Linked DNA regions of Solanum lycopersicum. The protein of the gene in region 1 interacts with the protein of each later gene in a pairwise test. Links are inferred from orthologs where the notes say so. Each region holds a gene or a part of one and is shown on either strand. Other genes may lie near its edges.

Region 1 (3,929 bases):
TAATGATATATTGGAGCTTTGACGTGGCAATTAGTTCCACTTTTAAGACGCGCTCAAAATTTCAATCATTTTTAATTTACATTTGCATTTGAATTTGAATTTCATTTTAATTTGCATTTGAAATTTTCATTTGCATTTAGGTGGGAACCAGTAAGACACACAAGTGGTATGTAATATAGTGAGAAAATGACAAAATTTGTCCCTTATTTTTATGGTAATGTTTAAAGTACTCCCTTAAGTATTCTTTGAATAATTCAAGTCATTTAAATTATTAAAAGTTATTTTATCGGTTTCAATTTGTTTGTCTGATTTTGATTTAACTAAAAATACAAGAATTATAGAAGACTATTGTATTCTATGATTTTAAATTAAAGATATATGAAACGTATAAAAAAAATTTATTTTACAGTCGTATACATGTCACATTAAAAATTGAAATTAAAAACTTACAAAAAAAATTATATTTAAAACAAACTAACAAACAAATCAAAGTACGTGAAAAAAGTACTTTTAGTTTTGGCTAAATGTTTAACAAACTTTATCTGCTAAATATTTAATTGAAATGTAAACCTACATAATCAAAACCACTAGAAAAGTTTATCAAATAGGGTATTTTGAATACAAAAAGCTACACTAAATCTCAAAAATATTAGAAATTGCACCTAAAATATTATATCAAACTCTCAAAAAAAAAAAAAACATCTGCAAAAACATTGCCTCTTAGATATATTAATTTTCACTGAATTCCTTATTTTCATTTTTTTCATTAAATCGTTAGAATTTTTCAATTTTGTCTTAGTTTCACTTCTTTTAAGTGAACAACCTCTCTAACTCAAAAAAAAAAGTATGTATCAATTCTACGTACATCTTACTCTGTTCAACCTCTAGTTATTCAAATATGTTATTGTATTTGACGAATATAACAAGTTTTAACTTTTGACAAACTTAAAAAACTAAAATGTTCATAACAAACTTTAGGGTATATTTTGAACTTACTCTAAAATATTAGTGACCATATCTATAATTTTATTGTATGTAGTGGACCAAATTTTGAAGATTTGACTTTGACCATTAACACTAAAAAGAGGAGAGAAAAAATTGAACTCACCAAGAAGAAAAGTCACCCTTTCCTCCTCCTTTCCTTTCTCTAACTCATATATACCTCTGAACCCTTCACTCATTTCTTCACAAAAAAAAATTACTCAAAACAAATAACAACTCCCAAATCTTACAACTAATTCAATACTTGATTTTCAAGTTTCTTGATCCATCCATCTCTAAGGTAATGTTTTGTTCTCAAAATTTTATTGCTTTTAGTTTCTTCTAGTATGGGGTTTTTGTCATTTTATGGTAAAGAATGCTTATGGGTTTGTGAAAAATATTGAAAGTTTGGAACTTTTTGGTGATGGGGTTTCAGTTCTTGTTGACTAGTTGAAGTTATGAGATGGGTTTCTAGTTTTTGTCTTTTTATGGTTAATTTAGTGTATGGGTATGGAGTATTTTGAAAAAAGATTGAAACTTTGGAACTTTTTGTTGACTAGTTCTGTGTTTTTTTCTTTATGTTGTTGAAGTTTTATGAGATCTATTCTTTTGGTGGGGTTTACTCTGATGGGTTCATTGGATTTAGGGAAAAAAGTTGGGATTTTTGGTTCAGTATTTCTGATGTTTTATGGGTTTGATTTAGTAGCAAATGTAAATCTAGGAAGAGTTATAGTAATGATTTAGGTTTATACTGTTTGTTACTTTTGGAATTTGTGATTTTATATGTGTTGGATGGAGTAGTAAATCTAAATCTGAAGCTTTTTGATGACTTGCAGGAATTGATGTGTACTGGTTCAAGGAGTAAAGTTTGTCCTTCTGATTTAAACATGGATAAGAAAGATGGGCATGGTAGAAATTGTTCAAAATTGCTTGAATTGTCAGCTTCAGATGATCTTGCTAGCTTCATATGTGAAGTTGAGAAAGGTTGTGCTGTTGATGAGTTCAGCTTTTGGTATGGGAGAAGATTTGGTTCAAAAAAGATGGGGTTTGAAGAGAGAACTCCTCTGATGATTGCTTCCATGTATGGAAGTATTGAGATTTTGAAGTATATTGTTGGAACTGGTAAGGTTGATGTCAACAGGGCTTGTGGCTCTGATGGTGCAACTGCTCTTCACTGTGCTGCAGCTGGTGGGTCGGAATCATCGGTCGAGGTTTTAAAGATCTTGATTGATGCTTCTGCTGATGTTAATGTCTGTGATTCTAGTGGAAACAGGCCTTGTGATGTGATTGCTTCTTATCCTAAGTCTTTGAGGAATTCGAAAAGGAAATCGCTGGAGTTGTTGTTGAATGGCTGCTTGGCTGAGCTTGCTGAGTTGGAGGAGGAGGAAGAAGGAAAAACAGCAATTCAGATGACGAAGGAAGGTAGCGAGAAGAAAGAGTATCCGGTCGATACTTCCTTGCCTGACATAAATGATGGGATTTATGGGAGTGATGATTTCAGGATGTATTGTTTTAAGGTTAAGCCATGTTCAAGGGCTTATTCTCATGACTGGACTGAATGCCCTTTTGTTCATCCAGGGGAGAACGCGAGGAGACGCGATCCAAGGAAGTATAACTATACTTGTGTTCCATGTCCCGAGTTCAAGAAAGGCGTTTGTGCAAAGAATGATTCTTGTGAGTATGCTCATGGTGTATTTGAGTCATGGCTTCACCCTGCTCAATATAGAACCCGTCTCTGCAAGGATGAGACCGGGTGCTCAAGGAAAGTTTGCTTCTTTGCTCACAAGCCCGAAGAGCTGCGCCCCTTGTATGCGTCCACTGGTTCAGCTATCCCTTCTCCAAAGGCTAGTCCAGTTGGGTCGATGGACATGTCAACATTGAGCCCTCTGGCTCTTGGTTCTTCATCCATGTTGTTGCCTGGTACTTCAACGCCACCGATGTCTCCTGCTGTTACATGTTCGTCTCCAATGGGTGGAAACATGTGGCAGAACAAAGCGAACATCACCCCACCTGCATTACAGCTACCTGGCAGTAGGCTAAAGACATCTCTAAACGCTCGGGACTTGGACTTGGACATGGACATGCTTGGCTTGGAAAGCATCCGCACGCAGCAGCAACTAAGACAGCAATTGATAGATGAGATGGCTGGTCTCTCTTCACCGTCTTATTGGAACAAGGACAATCGGATGGCAGATTTGAAGCCTACGAATCTTGATGATGTTTTCGGATCCATGGATTCTCAATTGCTGTCCCAATTTCAAGGCCTTTCTCCGAGAGTTACATCCACCACCAGCTCTCAGTTGTACTCTCCATCGGTTTCTCATTTGCAAGGTCTCTCACCTAAGGTGTCAAGTAACGGCTCCCAGATGCAATCTCCAACCGGGCTACAGATGCGACAAAACATGAACCAATTTCAATCAAGCTATACTAACATTCCTCAATCATCGTCTCCGATGAGGAAGCCCTCAACCTATGGATTCGACTCCTCAGCAGCAGTGGCTCAAGCTGTCATGAACTCGAGGTCTGCTGCTTTTGCAAAGCGTAGCCAGAGTTTTATTGACCGTAGTGGAATGGGCCATCGTGCTGTTCCCAATGGTGTTGCTAACTCACCACCTTTGATGTCATCAGACTGGGGCTCCCCTGATGGGAAACTGGAATGGGGCTTCAACAGTGATGACACAAACAAGCTCAAGAGATCTCAATCTTTTGGTTTTCGCGGTGGAAATGGTGCTCCAACAAGATCAACAATCACACCCTCTCCACTCAACGAGCCAGACGTGTCGTGGGTTCATTCCTTGGTGAAAGATGTGTCCTCCACTGGTACTGGACTATACAGTTCAGAGCAGCAGAAGCACGGTGGTGGTGTTCGCGACTCCATCCCACCTTGGCTGGAACAAATGTACATAGACCAGGAGCGTATCGTGGCTTAATTAATTATTCTTTTCGAA
Region 2 (3,929 bases), on another chromosome or scaffold:
ACTTCTTACAAAGTAAAGTAGGATTTCAAAATCAAATTTGAAATCAAATTAATATTTTCTCCGGTCATAAATATAATTAATCTCAAAATTTTAATTTTATTTGCAAACTAAACGTCCATTTATTCAATTTTTTGTCCATGTGGTACAACAATAGAGGTGTGGAGTGAGAAATCAGGAGTATATTTTTCAATTGAGACGTGAATATAATGCTAATAAGATATTATAATAATTTTAACATTTCAAAGAGAGACCAAACATGGCCTACAAAAAATAGAGGTTTAAAGTCCCAATAGAAGAAAATTAATGGAGTGGAAGTAGAATCCAAAACTGTTCTGTTTTTGGCTATATTTTGTGAACCTTTTTTTGTAACTGATTTAGCATTTAAGGCATTAGTTGAAAGTGAACCTCCAAAAACAGAGAATCAGATTAGATTAATCTCTTTTAATTAACATGTTAGAAAAAAGTCATAAAGCAAGGGCAATTTAGTCCAAACAACTAAATATTCCATCCCATTCTTATTTCAAGAAAATGGAATTTAAGTCAACAAACGTAGCCGACCGCCTAAAGACGCAGAATCTTTGAAAAGTAAAAATACAATAAATAAATAAACACTTTTTACTTTGACCCGTCTAATTTATGTTCTCTAAATTTATTTATTTTTAAAAATAAATTGATAATTTTATTTAATTTTTTGCTAGAATGTTTAAGAAAAATAAATAAATAACGGCATGTTAATATGTATCATATATTATTAGTTTAAAAATGCATTTTTTTTTATAAAAGATAATTTCTTAAATTTTGTGCAAGTTAAAACGAAATTTATAAAATTGTATAGATGAAGTATACTACTTTTCAAGAGTTAATTTAATTATTTTAAAAGTTAAATTAAATAAAACTTAATACTTAAATTTTCATAAACGACTTAGTCAGATCTCACTTATGAAATTTTTCTGAATATATTATTGTAAAGAAGTTACATATATGCTTTTATTTATATATTTTGAAAAACTATACTATATAAGTACTACTATAAATCATTCCCTTCATATTAACAATTGTGTTCACATCTATTTTGAGATGTCCAACAATACTTGTCATTTTATGAAATTATTAAATAATATTACACTTAGTTTTTAATTACTCTTATTTTTAATTATAGTAATTTCTCTATTACATTTTTCAAAACATTATATTGATTTTACTCAAAGGATGATATAGTAATCCTTCCGTCCACTTATTTGTAATGTACACTTTTTGAAAATTAATTTAACTAACTTTAAAGTTAAATTATAACATTAATTTGATATTTTAAATAAACTTTAGATATTAAAAAAAATACTATAAATTGTAAAATTTTGCATATCAATATTATGAGAAATTACATTATAAAATGTTAATCAAATCTATAATAGTTTGACTCTAAAAAAAATTATGACAACTAAAAATTAATGAAGTTAGTAATATATTAATTATTTATAGTTTGTTAATTTTTTTTTTTTTGCAAAATCAATAATGAACAAATATAATTAGACAAATAACTAATAATTTTCCTCAAAAGAAAAAGGAAAATATCCCTATAAAGAAAAAAGATAAATTAATTAAATTGAATTTTCAGATTCCTTGATTATATGAGTAACCGTGTTTCCGAGTTAACTCAAATATGCGACGACCCGAATGTGAAAAACAATATCGAATCTGTTGAAGCTTTTAGAATCCAACTTTCCACTTTTACCCTCGTTTTCGTTGAAAAGTGAAACTGTGCTATAAATATAAGACTTCTTCAACCCTTTTCTTTATTCATTCTATCTAGGCAATGTGAGAAAGTGATACAACAATTAAATATATTTTTTTTTATAAAAAAAATTATGGGTTCAAATTCTAAAGAAATGAACATTGATTTGAATTTTGTTTATGTACCCAAGTTAATTTCAGATGTTTTAACTGAAGTTTCTGCCATGGATGACATCTCCAAGAAATTAAAAAAGCTCAATCAGTTTCTTGTTCCTTTAGAAGAAGAACTCACAAAAATCGAAGCTTTTAAACGTGAATTGCCCTTGTGTATGCTTCTTCTCAAACATGGTTAGTTTTTTTTTTTGAATTTTTTTCTCTATTTTTTCAATTTTCTACATTTTTTTAGGGGTTATTTATTTACTTTTTGTTTTTAATTCTTGTGGCAGCTATTGAGAGATTAAAGGCAGAAGCTTTGCTGTATAAGGAGAAAGATAAAAGCCCTGTGATGATGGAGGAATTCATCCCACTGAAGAAGGGTAATTCTGATGAAATTGGAAGGGTAAAAAAGTCAAATGATTTAAGTGATAAGAAAAATTGGATGAGCTCTGCTCAGCTATGGAGCACTCCAGTTCAGTATGAAAGCTTTAATCTTCAAAACTTAAAACGGGTAAGTTTTTCCCCCTTTTTTTTTTTTTTTTTTTTTGTAAAATCGTTTTGACATTTTTTTATACCATTGTTGATTAATCAGAGTGGTGTAGAAGATAAAGCCAAGGAGAAGCAATACCAGTTAGGAGCATGTAAATTGACGAGTGAAAGAGGGGCATTTTTGCCATTTCAAAGACAAGCTTTGAAGGTAGACAAAAAATGTTTGGCAGTGAAGGATTTATCTCTGTCAATGGCAGTGACAGTGGGTGAAGGAGAAAACCGTGAAAATCCAATTGATGTGAGTGTCAAAAGAGAGAACGGCCCATCAAATTCAAATGGGTGTGATGGTTTTTCACATGACAAATCACTACAGAGGAAACAGAGGCGTTGTTGGTCTCCAGAATTGCATCGCAGATTTGTTGATGCTCTTCATCAACTTGGAGGTCCACAAGGTAATTGTCGGTGTTCGCATTAATTTGCGTTCACCTTTGATTATTTTGTGAAAAATGAATAGTTAATCTTGTTGAATTGCTGAAAGTATTTGATTAAAATATAATATTACTATTGTTGGAGTCTCACATCATTCATTTAGAAATGCAAATGTCGTCTATTCTTTATCATGAAAATCAGATCCGTACCAATTCATTGTTTTCTAGCCATGTGAGGATCGGGTTGGAGTAGAATGTATTGTTTAATAAAAGGAATTTGTATATGATCTTGAGCAGGACGAGCTAGCTTTTGGATCGATTAGTTCTAGTATTAATTTCTTTTTATCATTTAATTCTGATCATAAGAGAAAAAAAATAGACTCGCAATTACAAAAGTCTTTCTTTTTTACTAGTAATAGTCGCCGCAACTATGGTTAAAATATTGTTATCAATTTTTAACATCACCAACATGCTATTATTTCATTATCATTTTTTTTTCTTTTGTACTAGGATTTTATTATATATGTCACTCTATATACTTTTTATTATCCAACAAAACATTAACAATAATTTTTGAAATGTTATCCTGCAGTGGCTACACCAAAACAGATCAGAGATATCATGCAAGTGGATGGCCTGACCAATGACGAAGTGAAAAGCCATTTACAGGTATCCTATTACGGTCTTTCAACAAATAAGAGGCTTATATTTTGTTCCCATGATACTTGTGTTAGAAATTATGGCGGAGCCAACAATTTTAATATTGCAATCTTGTAGAGTGAGCTAGTGAATGAATTTATGTAAAAAATTGCTTTTACGGATTCAATTGAACCTCTTTCAATATAATGAGTGTTTGTTGTACATCGTGTTGATCAAACTATTTATTTTGTGATATGCAGAAATATAGACTTCATGTGCGACGAGTCCCAGCATCAGGTTGTTCATGGTCTACTGTGGATGAAAATGGGGAGTCTTCAAAGAATAATGGTACACAATCTGGTTCTCCTGAAGGGCCACTTCATTTTACTGGTTCAGGTTCAGCCAAAGGGGTGTCTGTGAATGAAGAAGAGGATAATAAATCGGAAAGCTATAATTGGAATGGACAGCTTCACAAGAGCATTGAAG

Evidence for each region.
Region 2: the proteins of zinc finger CCCH domain-containing protein 29 (region 1) and transcription factor HHO5-like interact in binary tests that used the Arabidopsis thaliana proteins (3 or more experiments, as listed by UniProt). The link is inferred for Solanum lycopersicum from reciprocal best matches to the Arabidopsis thaliana genes CZF1 and AT4G37180.

The regions. Positions count from the first base shown.
Region 1 is NC_090804.1:66,046,293-66,050,221, reverse strand, and holds the start of zinc finger CCCH domain-containing protein 29, read left to right. Parts: upstream 1-1,066; 5' UTR 1,067-1,282; intron 1,283-1,817; 5' UTR 1,818-1,823; coding exon 1,824-3,911; 3' UTR 3,912-3,929. UniProt on the Arabidopsis thaliana protein: Involved in salt stress response. May positively modulate plant tolerance to salt stress.
Region 2 is NC_090801.1:68,283,198-68,287,126, forward strand, and holds the start of transcription factor HHO5-like, read left to right. Parts: upstream 1-1,628; 5' UTR 1,629-1,865; coding exon 1,866-2,079; intron 2,080-2,177; coding exon 2,178-2,398; intron 2,399-2,479; coding exon 2,480-2,828; intron 2,829-3,396; coding exon 3,397-3,473; intron 3,474-3,703; coding exon 3,704-3,929.